2 linked regions of the Oryzias latipes genome follow. The protein of the gene in region 2 interacts with the protein of the main gene of each other region in a biochemical or structural test. Links are inferred from orthologs where the notes say so. Each region holds a gene or a part of one and is shown on either strand. Other genes may lie near its edges.

The links.
Region 1: the proteins of rlim (region 2) and lhx3 form a complex in vitro, tested with the Homo sapiens proteins (2 studies listed by BioGRID). The link is inferred for Oryzias latipes from reciprocal best matches to the Homo sapiens genes RLIM and LHX3.

The regions. Positions count from the first base shown.
Region 1 is NC_019870.2:10,782,765-10,788,722, forward strand, and holds the end of lhx3 (LIM/homeobox protein Lhx3), read right to left. Parts: intron 4,651-5,958; coding exon 4,496-4,650; intron 3,373-4,495; coding exon of another isoform or gene 3,364-3,372; coding exon 3,201-3,363; intron 1,821-3,200; coding exon 1,387-1,820; downstream 1-1,386. UniProt on the Homo sapiens protein: Transcription factor.
Region 2 is NC_019868.2:17,952,361-17,958,898, reverse strand, and holds the start of rlim (E3 ubiquitin-protein ligase RLIM), read right to left. Parts: upstream 4,566-6,538; 5' UTR 4,410-4,565; intron 3,559-4,409; 5' UTR 3,438-3,558; coding exon 3,269-3,437; intron 1,740-3,268; coding exon 1,635-1,739; intron 1,552-1,634; coding exon 1-1,551. UniProt on the Homo sapiens protein: E3 ubiquitin-protein ligase.

The sequences.
Region 1 (5,958 bases), on a different chromosome or scaffold from region 2:
AGACAAAATATTGAGTTCATTTTTAATTGTACTTTCATCTATTACGATATTTGTTTGATGGAACTCATTAATAGCAACACACGGACATGTGGTCACCTTCTCCCTCTCACACAAACACAGAGGCGCACACACACATTTACCATTTAATCTATTTAATTGAACCTGACTTGGAATAACTAAACAAATGAGGAAATTCACAAGGGGCACCCGATCCCTTCTTGGATAATGGATTGCAGATTCCTTTCCCATAGGGGTATTTGGGCAAACAGGACCCAGTAATCTCTGAATTGATGAGTGGACTGCATCAAATTTCTCCACTAAAGAGCTGTTGAACCCCCGATACAGTGCTGGGAGTTGGCCAAATGCTCAATTTGCAGATACAGTGAAGACTGCAGGCTCGTTCTGGTTTCATTGCCAGAGATAAAGGTTGCTGCATGCCGCCGACATTAAGGATGTCAAAATCATGCCCACGATCTGTGATTTGAGTGAATAGTATAACTTTTGAAAAAATGCTCTTTAAAAAAAAAATCCTGTTAAAAATCCCTCTGATTTCATCTTTATTTTTTTCATTTTAGTTATTCTCTCATTCACCTTGTCTCCTCCATACAATTTTTGTTCTGCACCAACAACAAAAATGACAAACCTTCCTGTTGAATTAGGTGACAAATTTATTAAAATCCTGCAATTCACTTATGAATTACCAACATTACCAGAGAGAATAAATAATACATAAAACATTTTTTCCACATAAACAAACATATACATCAGAGCGCCCCCCCCTCAGCAGTTACAGTTCATCCTTGGGGTTGTTTCTGGTGGAACGAAACGAACAAGAAACATCTGCAACAGACAAATGCATAGAAGTAATTGGACACCTAGGCACCATTTAAGACAACATCTAGACTTCTGCCTAATTCCGTGTTTAAGAATGAACAAAATTCTAGGTTTTCAGTCACATTCAAGGAGGAAAGGGGGGTGGGGGTATATAAAAATAAAGTCTATGTGATGATAAACCATTAATATATATTTATATATTGACATTTGGCAACAACCGGACATGTAAAGACCCAATGTTGACTCAAGTTCTTCACTTGAACAGTTAACTAAGAGCAATAAAAAAAAAATAACGCAAAGAACTCAGTTTGTTCTAAAAGAGCTTATAGTGGTTCTAAAATTTAGATTTTATTTATTTTTGCTTATGTTGCATACAATAAAACAACAATGATTAATTCAAGTGCTTTGAATGAGGGGCATTTTCTTTATTTCCTCCATTTAGATCACAAAAAAAAAAATGACTGGGTGTTTCAGTTTGCGACTGTTAAGGTCTAATGACATCATTTTTCCGCCTCCAGCATATAAGCTAAATGAAAAGAGTCATGTTTCTGATCAAAACTGGCCATGATCAACTTCATCTAACCAGGACGCAGGACTGGCAGGAAAATCTGGATAACCCCCACTGCTGCCGGTGGAGAGGTCGGAACTGGGGCCGTTGGCTGCTCCCATGGAAACCCGGACGGTGGGGTTGATACCAGGCCCAGCGCCCTGGGTCATGATGGAAAGGCCAGAGTCCGGGTAGACTAGGCTGGAAATGATGGGCTGGTGTCGGGGTAGTGCCTGCAGGGAGCTCGGAGACTGAGGGAGCCCATAGGGGCTGTTGGAGCGAATGTCATGGAACTGGTCTTGAGAGGGGAGCCCGGCGTGCTCCAATGGAAAGGAGTTGTGGTTGTTACCCCCTTGGCGGCCCCCAATCGTTGGAGACGATTCGCTCAGACTGCTGTAAATGCCATTGGCATTGCCAAGCTCTGAAACAGGAGGTTCATCTGGGCGACAAAAACAAGTTAAAGACATGAGTTAGACTTGGTAGAATAAAATTAGTGAAAAGAGTTTCCCATTCTTTGTCTTTAATATTATTTTTACATTTCAAATAAAAAACACTATTATACATTAGTGACACAAATTATTTGTTTCTAAGCATTTTAGGCTGTTGTTGATTTCTTGCAATCATCATCTGTTTTTCTTTGCATTCAGAACAATTATAGTTATTTTAAAATATGGAAAAATTGTAGTAAAATGCATTCCCAATTACACTGTGTAAACTAATTGTCCAAAGCTGGATATTTATTCATTCATCCAATATTTTTTAGCACAATGTGTTGATCATGATGAAAATAGCATACGTGGTTGCATTTCTTCATGTATAGTTTTCTTTTGTAACCCTTGAAGATTGTTTACACAGTTGCAAAGAAATTCAAAAAGTTTCCTTAAAGGGTTGGTTAAACAAACAAAAAAAAAGGAGACCATTTTCTATAGGTTGTGCCAAAACATAAATAAGTGTGCTAGCTCTTTTCATCATTCAAGTTTGTATAGGGGCTTAAAATATAAATACATTTGCATTTATGAATTTACTTTTTTTTTTTTTTTTTTTTTACAAAAAAACAACTAAAATGGCAAATTTTTGAGTTTTACAGAAGCATCAATTTTAGATGTGTTCCCTTGTAAGTACAGCTTTTCCAAGAACGTTTTTAGAACAGAAGATGGAAACTCTGTCTAACAAATGTTGACAATCTAGTGTTTATCTACGATTTCCTTAAAAAAAGGCTCAAAGCGAGAAAACTTGTCAAAAGAAAGCACCAGAAAAAAGTATAAAAAGAAATTTGTTGAGTTCTAGGCTGCGTCCAAATTCCCTCACCACCCCTTAACCCCTAAAAGACTTTAGTCTTTAGTGTGGGGCCACGAGTGCCCTGGATTTTAATCCAGTTTGAGCACATGCTCACCACTTTTTTTTTTATTAAATAGAAAATATGACGTCACCCATTTGGCGAAGTAAAACCCTGAAACATATGAACATAGTACGAAGGCTATTTCTGAATCCATTGTGTTCTGATGATGACAGTTTAGATAATTTATAAAAAAAAAAATCAAACATAATTCTTTTTAAATAACAAATCATTCAAACGCAATGCATTGCGGTCTATATTCACCAATAGTGAGCATCAATGCCCACCTGTCTTTCACAGAGACCTCCGGGAAATATCAAGGGCACTCGATTTTGGAATTGTAGATTCGGACATCCAGACAAAATGGAAAATCTACATAGTGCACTAAAGGAATTTTGGACACAACCAAGAGTTTAAAGTGTGCCGGTTATGTGTCACGTTCAGGTATTTATTTTTTTGCTTAATTTTATTCTGTGACCCTACCTGTGAAGGACACCTCCGCGTCACTGTCCATGCCCTCCTCCTGGATGCTGTCTTTGTCGGACTTGGAGCTTCCTCGCGACCTCTTCATGTTGCGGAAGTACTGTCCCCATCGCTGCCTCCCTGCATCCTTTTTCAGCCTTTTCTCTTTAGCTCGCCTGTTCTGGAACCAAACCTAGAAAAAAATAAAAAATAAAAAGGAAACAAAATGTCGGTCATTGATCAGACAAACAACACTATAAAAATCTCAATCTTTAGAAAGTAGAAAGGCCCTTGTTTTGAGAAAAGAATGTCTTGCAAGAAGATATAAGAAAACATATCTTAGTGACTTGATTTTTTTCTTAAAATAAGAATTCTTGGTAAGTCATTTTTTTCTTACCCCATTGGACATATTTTTGCTGAATTAAAGAAAAATTTGACTTATATCTATGGGGTTGTTTTTGCAGTGCATCTACCAATATTACATGTGTTTATGGAAAAATAATACTTCAAAGATTTATTGATCATAATGTGCTCTGAAACACTCAGAGGAAATTAAAATCCATATTTTAAATATTAGTAATTAATTGCTTGATTTCCTGTTTAGTCCTGAGGACAAATATACCAAGCATAGTTTTTTTTTATGGTCCTGATACATGTGTCAGGATGTAGAGCATTAGGACAAAATAAATGTTCAGAGACTGTCTAGACACCACTGCTTGCCTTTCAGAGTCCAGAGGGAGACATGGGGCAGTAATCCTTGAACCAGCTTCTCTTATATTACATTTATCACGCGTTTCATTAACTTCCACTGCAAGTAACTCTCCCCTAAAGGAGCAGATCCATTTTCACATTTTTCACTTGGATTTGTCCAAATTTTCCACTCTAACTTTTGACACAAAAACCATAGTTTACTTGTTTCAATTGTGTTAATTGAAACTTTTTGATTTTACATGCAAAGTCAGTCATTTGCACTCACATAAACAAGAATTTACGTCCCCCTTTAAGATGTTCCACCTTGAGAAAGCCCTTTCCCTAACATAATGAGGAGCTTTTGAGTGGTCTCAGACCCTTACTTTTGTCCTTGCAAATAAAACAATATATATGACCCAACACCTAGCAGCCACTCTGAGGCTCCTAAGCAGCAGACAATATGTGGGGGACCCCTCTTAGCATTGTTAACGACCGTGCACTTAAACCAAGCTGACTTTCATGCAGACTTCATTCTACCTCATCTGACCGTAAATTCAATAACCAGCATGCGCACTTGTTCCCACAGCTCTGTTCTGAAGTCAGGTTTAATGAAAACAGGATAATAATACCTGAACCACCCGCATATCCAGGCCTGTTTCTGACGACAGTTGCTCTCGGACGTGGCGGGCCGGCTTGGGGGAATTATTGTAAGCGTTTTTCAATGTCTCCAGTTGTTTAGCAGTGATGGTTGTTCGCGGCCTTTTTGCAGTCGAGTCTGCCTCTGAAGGAAAGACAAGAGTGTCAGACTTCAGAAAAATAAAAACATCAACATGAAATATTTTGGATAGAATTTGTATATTAAAAAAATGAAATGACAAAAAATATATCATACCACGCTGTCACTGCAACCATAAATCCAGAATATAAACAAGTAAAGGAAAATTATTAACTGTATTTTTACCATAAGGTCAAACTTTCCAAAAGGTAATAAACATTTCTATAATTTTGCAGAGCTCCAAATGAAAATAGGTTATTTTCTTTGTGTATGAATGAGTATTCCTCAATTCATGCAGACCAAAAACTCCTAAAAATAACTGAAGTTGTTTTTTTTAACATATATTAAAATGTATTATTCTAACTCAGGAAAATAAAAACCTCAAAAACCAAAAAAAGAAAAAAGAAAAATTGGGTAAATGGAGCTATACTAAAACAAAAAAAACTTTATTGCAAAAAAATAAAATAAAGTAACACAAAAATATATCCCAACATAAATAAATTGGGTTAAAGAATTAAGCCAAGTGTTTTAAGAGTCAGTCAAAATGTGTTTTCTTATTATATCCACTTCTTGTGCAAGAAAAAAAAACTATAATAAGGCCTTTAATTCTTTGTTTACAGACCTTGCATCAAATATAGTAATACACACACTGCATAGAAGTATTTAATTTAACATAAATTAATACATCTCCCTGTCTTTGCCTATACTGGCATCATCTGCACCCTTTTTGCATATCAGCTCGCCAACACGACAAAACACAAAACCATCACCTAAATGGATGCTGCCCAAGTAATTGCACCCTGACATAAGTTAAATAAACGTGTTTGTTTTTTTGCACAAAAAAATGCACTACCTCATTGCATAAATCTGCACAGTAAATTTCCAGCAAACAGATGGGGAGATAAAACTTGACTGTGCACAACTCTGCCGCATTTAAATGAGCCTGCTGGGATATTTATTCAATAAAAAGGCACACTGTTGCAAGGGCAGCATTGTGGTTTTTCCCCCCTTTTTGATCTGACAAAAATGCATCGTAGCAGGTTTAAATCAAACTATGCAAATTTATGAATTTCTTATACCAGATAAGCTAAACTGTGCTTATATGCTTTGTCCATTTTTTAAAACATTTAAAAACTTTAATGATTTTCACATAAAATGCATGGACAAATTATAATTTTGTAAATGCTTAGTAAAAAAAAAAAACTATTCCTCAATTTCAGACAAGGAATTTATTTCTGAAAATATTTTTTTGAGAACTGCAAATCTCGCTGACTGTCATTAAACTCCATATAAATATAATAACTGCATTAAAAA
Region 2 (6,538 bases):
TGTTGCCCTCTGCGTATTCCGTGATGCAGACACTACAGGTCTTCAAAGCATCGCTCTCCCCGAAGTTGCGCATAGAAAGGTTGTCGATCTGTTCTTTGGTCAGCCCCTGAGGCTGGTCCTCATCGTCATCATTCAATAGAAAGAAGTGAGCAAGCCGTAGGAAGGGCAGGGAGCTGGGCTCCTCTAAGCTAATGGGCGGCCGGGGGCGAGGCCGGCCGCCAGACGCCGGTTGACCAGCAGCGAGGCCCTCATCCGCATCAGCCTCCACTGTCCTTCCCCTAACTCCAGCAGCAACCGGCTGTTCGTCCACGTCAGCAGAGTCAGTGTTATTCACATCTGGATTATTAAGGGTTTCAGAGTCTGCAGGCGTGCCAGCAGCACGGTTTGAATCCGAGGAGTCAGAGTCTGAATCCATGAGGTAGCCAAGCTCGCCAAAGCCCGTCATGATCTGCCGAATCATAGACTGAAGAGCCATTGATGTTGCCTCTCCTAAACCTGCGTCAGAGATTCTTCGGATGGGGATTCGAATGGTGCTAACGTAGGTCCTCACGCCAGCGCGCTCGGAGCGCGAGAAAGTCCTGCGAAATCCACCGCGCTCGCTCTCGTAAAGAAACGTGTTGTTCGAGTTCTGTGAGCGTGAGCGAGTGCGGCTGGCGATGCTGTCCCTCTGACGATATTCACCGGGGCGCACGCGCCGCACCTGTAGATCAAGCATTATGGTGGGAGGGCGGCGCCCCGCTGCACCGCCTTCACCAGCTTCCCCACCTTCACCCCCAGCAGTTTCTCCTTCCTGAGACCCAGCATTTGGGGACTCTGGGACGGGTTCAGCAGGAGCTCTGGGTGGCCAAACGTCCCCTTCAGCAAAGTTCTGACGTGAAAGAATATGCTGTCGAGTCCGAGAGCTGCCCTCCACTGGAGGCACAGTGGGAGTATTTGAGGAAGAACTCGAGCTTTGAGAACTGTAATCATGTCTCGGAATTGGAATGCCATCAAGCTGATCCAAGCTGAGAGGGGACCGGCTCCTAGCAAGGCGGGCACGAGTTCTGCGTGGTTCTGGGCTGCGGCTGCGAGCTCTTCTCTGTCCTCTACGTGGAGAAGAACAAGGAGGGGGTTGAACAGGAGGAGGCGGTGGAGGCGGCGGCGTTGGTGGACTGGAAGGCTCCTCTACAACCTGATGTGAAACTACTTCATCTACTTCAGGCTCTGGCTCCACAAGGACGGCCAATTCCTCAACAACTGGTTCTTCCACCACTTCTGCTTCCATGGGAACCTGTGCTTCAGGTTCGACAGACACATCTTGACCTTCAGCAGGCTGTTCTGGAGGCTCTTGCTCCGCTTCAGCAGCCGCCTGCTGCTCAGCCAGATTGCGGTTCACACTAATTTCCAGGCTGAAGCGAAAATCGCCACTGTTTGGATTGGTCTGGCTCACAGCCCTCCATGACTGGTTCCCGCGATGACCGGTTCTGGTTGTGTTGCCTGTGCGTCGCACTGTGTTCAGCCAATCAAGAAGGCTATCCCCACCTGGAGGATCCTCAGAGCTCTCTGGTTGTTCTGGGAAACAAAACAAAACAAAAAATTTCAATCTGACAGAAAGTTTTAAAGCAACAAAAAAAGAGAAAAAAAACAATACCTACCAACTGGTTCTTCAGTACTCTCAGTAGCAGGGTTGTTACTCTGCTGTTCCGGACCACCTTTGATCTGCTGAAGACGACTAATCAGCTCATCCTCTGTGACCTCTCCTGCAATATAAATGAGAGAAAATTAAGACCAAGACATTTCTATTTTCTTGAAAATCCTTGGATTAGTTTTTTTTTTACCAAAGACCATCTGGGAAAACAAAAATAATAGCTTCATTCTTCTACAATAAAAAGGTTTAATGAGCTTAAAGAAATGAAGTCCTATTTGATTGCTTGAAATAAACCATTTCAAATCAAAAAAAAAAAAAAGTCACCTGGGACATGTTCAAGCTACAGAATTGATTTTGTATTTTATGAAATATTCCTACCAAAAAGGAACTCATGTCAAGTGTCGTACTCTCCTCACTGTTGTGTTGTCTTTGAACACATCAACAGAAGAGCAGGAAAAGCCTCCAGACTTACCAGGGCAAGTCAATCTCCATCTATTGCCTTCCCCTCTAAGTTGAAGGATACCCCATTAAAGGTCCAAACTTACTTTCCCCCTCTCACTCTGAGGACAGACAGAGACTGGACATCTCCAACTGCTCGCTGACTGTTGCATTTCGAGCATACTCAGGAATGCAAACACATTAAAAAGAGGAATGCCATTAAATGCCCTTAAAACAAAACAAGTATGTAACATTCAACTAAGATCTGTGTTTATAAATGCCAAATTCATCTTGTGAGTCTTGACTATACAAAATGATACCTACATTACATTTGTAAACACTCACTCTAAGAAAAATTGTGTTTTTGGTGTTTCTTTTCATGTTTTTGTAGCATTTTTTTCACGAGGGTGGATACAGTACAAATAATTTAAAATTAATACTTCCTCTCCATTTTTTTTATTCAAATCAGTGAGAATAAGGAGCAGACAAAAAAATGCAATTTGAAAAAGCTTGTGGTTGTTAGGTAAACTCTATAATCGTATGGCCACATGCTCTGTTTTATTGTTATACAGATCCATGTACGGCTTCATTCTCCTCATTTGAGCTGGCATCTGACTCAAAACTGTATGGCAGGCTAACTCCATCATTTTTTATCCACAATAACGTTAATTTGGGGTTGTAAGCTAGCGGGAAAGCACATAAACAAAGGGATGATGGAAAATTAAGGCAGCCTCACTCCATGCCAACAGTCTAATGAAATCGTCTTAAAAAAAAAACGACTGGTTTTTATGTTTGTTTTTTTGCCTAAGAACCATATAATCATAATTGAAAGACCACTAGGAACGCTTTTATAATAGAGCAAAAGAAGTCCGGATGGGGACTTTAAAAGCTTACATAGTTGTTCTACAGATGTCATAACTAATAAAGAGGCAGGGGATACAAAGTAATACTGAATTATTATAACATTTGTAAGTCTTTATCAATTGAATGTAGTAATATTAAATAATAAGTGAGGTTGTAACATCCAAGTGACTGATATGATAATTTATTGTGGTTTTACTAATGACAACATTGCCAAGAGGATTAAGTTTATAAAGACACAAAAGATCAAGAGATGCAAGTGCTACACACCGTTAAAAATGTACACGACGAAAAGCAAATGTAAAATTTATTATGATAATTATAATTTTCATTCATCTGTACCTGGATTGCCTAAAAGATTGTTGTCTCTCATTAGCCGATAGTCTTCCTCACTGAGGTTGTTGACAAACTGGTAGAAGGCCTCCTCTCTGTCCAGGCGATCCAGCTGCCTCCTGCGCTGTGACTCAGGCTGGTCACTGCCACCCTGTTCGACACCGTCAGACCCTTCCATGATGCGCAGGGGTGATCAGCGGGATGGTTTCGAACTAACAGCAAGATTCTGCTGCCGCAGAACAGAGTAGGTTTCCGTTAGTGACTTCCCTCTGCCGAAAGCCTCGTGGTGTTTTTTTCCCCTTAAAAACCACGCAGACAAGTCTAAATACCACTTGTGCTACCGTTAAACGAGAAAAGAACAAATCTAAGAAACATCATTGTAAATGTTGACGTTGCAGCTACTCTAAAGCCAATACGGCACATTTACCATAATGACAGGCAATATTTACACAACAAAAGCAGTCTGAATCTGATTTTCTCCTCACTCAAATAGTTCAGTTTCGATCCCATTTACACGCACAGCTGCCAGTCAACAAAAAACAAAAGCCTAATACCGCAAACCCCGTGTCTTTACGTCAACAAAAAGACAGTACGTTGGTCAAAGTCGAGATAAAAACAAAATGGCATCGTACATTTTAGCCAGCCTAGCAACCAATTAGCATTGGGTTGGGTTGCTAACCACATTACTACAATTAAAAGGGGCCAACATATGTTGTGAAGGATCACCATAGAGTTAAATCGTTAAATTTAAATAGGTCCATACATTTTTTATGTTTTTAAAATAGAATAAACCCCAACTATAAGATGACAAACAAGCTAACCTTGTTAGCTAGTCGGCTACTTAACTTCTAGGCTACTGGCTACTTAGCGTGCTTCCAAGTGTTTCTTTAACATATCCAAAGTTTTTTTTCTTAACCAAGTTCATTTTTACTTTTTGTCTAGAAGCTAAAAATAAATATTAGACATTAATGACGTTTTTTGCGGTGTATTTACTATATCGACCAGTAGTTACATGTACATTTAGCTAATAGCATCACCAGAAGCTAACACAGCAAGCGACGTCAACCGGTGACGTTAGCAATCAGAACGAGCTCAAACATTCAGTATGAATACAATTAATAGAATGTAATGTGTGACAAAATAATATTACCTGTAGGATGTTGATAGTAGACGTGTGATGAAAGGAAACCGTCCTTAGATTAATATTCTCTTAAAATTGATTGGGTTAACCGAAAGCGATCTCAGGATTCCATTTTCTTTCTTGTAGGAAAGCTGAAACGATCTTCCGGAAATGGACCATGACGCCAGTGTCCTGAGTTTGATCTTCCGGGTTCAATAAAGCTTTGCGTATTGGCAACGTAGTAATATAGGACAGCGTTTTATCATTTTTGCCAATACGATAAATTAACTGCTGTAAGTAAAATGTAAAATATATATATGTGTATATATATATATATATAATATGTAGGCTACATACTTAGGTACATATTTGGAATAAATAATTATATGCAGTGTTGCACAAGGAGATGCCTGGAAGTCAAAAAACGGGGATTTAAATTACAATGTAGTCACTCAATAGACAATGAATGGATGTTTCTAGCATGGGTGTTTGTTTTTTTTGTTGTTGTTGTTTTGTTGTTGTTTTTTTGTTCCTTAAGCATCTGAATGCAAGTGTACAAACAAGAAATGCATTTCATGAACCAAAACATTCGTTCAGGAAGTAAAAGAATGCCTAATAGGAGCACACAAAATCCCCATTAGTCATATCACTCATGCTTTCCCTTATGGATATACAAAAGTCTCCCCTTTAACCCTTTCCCCTTGCAACTGCTTAAGAACGAAGATAGAAATAACATTTCTGAAAGCTTTGCATGTTCACAATCACAAACCACAAATACTGATGTAATAAATACTATGTATTAATTTAAAAAAATGGGGAAACCAACCTCTCATTTAGGCCTACTGCATTTAATGGAGCAACTGATTAAATTTGCATAACAATTATTACATGTTTTATTTCTGCTGTGCTAGTTTTGTGCTGCAAGCATACTGTCATCTTTTTGTTTATTTATTTATTTATTTATTTATTTATTTTTTGTCAATAGATGGGCTTTCAACAGTTTCCACGTCACATGAAACTTTAACAGCTTGCAATAAAATGCAAAAACAGTTGCTTGTAATTAACAGAAAAATTCAGTTCAAACTTGTTAAAGGGTTTCTGTGCCTTGCAATGCATGAAGAATGCAGTGCTTTTCATTTTTTATTTTTCGAGAGCAACAAAGTGGCAAAAACGAGACTAGTGCTGACAAAAAAACAAAAAAAACAAACAACATTAGTACTTCTCTTTGAAGACATACTTAACAGGATCGAATGGGGATAATTAGGCCCCACATTTAACAAACTCTAACTTAAAGTCATTGAATATTATGCCATAAAACTATTTAGATAACTTGATCCTCAGCCAGAATTTTCTTTTTAAACACTGGGCCTACTCTAAAGCTATATCAAATTGAAGATCGATTGTCAAGAAAAAAATTTAGGGCGTCTAAATGTCTTTGCTTGTTGGAAAAGATCATTTAAAAATCCCTTTTGCAGTCCACGTCCAGGAAGCAAGGGGTCACTGAGGGTCCTCAAACACCTGCCCCTTTTTCCCAGGTGCCCGTTTTGTCAAAGGTGTTTTTTGTCCATTTACATATGTGAAAGCCTTTCCGACACGTTAATTTACCACCCATCAATTAATAATAACTCATAAAAACGAAAAAGATCAATTTAGAACTTTTGATGAACATGCCCCTCCCTCACATACACCAGGCAGCCCCAGCCCACCCCTTCACGCGCTGAAGCAGAGCTGGAGTGCAGCGCGCTATACAAGTAGGCAGGAAATTGAAATGTCCCGCAGATCTTTCACTTAGTTTCTATTTTGTTGGGCTGGTTGACCCCATGACCTCGGGCGCGCGACTGCGGTGTCGGCTGACGGCCGCGGAGCGAGTACGGTGGCTGAAGTGAGCGCGCGCTCCACGACTGATTGTCTTGTCTATGTTTTAGGTGAGCAGGTGGAGGATGGTTTCCAGGTATCTGCTCCTGCATAGTTTATGTGCATCGGATTTTTAGTGAATTCCTCTGGGTTTATATTAATGTGCTGACAGGCCTCGTGAGGAGTAGAGGTTGACAGAGAGGAAAAAGGAGCTGAATGAGGCTAAAGGCAGAGGATCCAGAACCAACAGCAAAGAGACCACCAGCATGAACCACTTGTTTATTTTTCTATTCAATCTTTTTTTT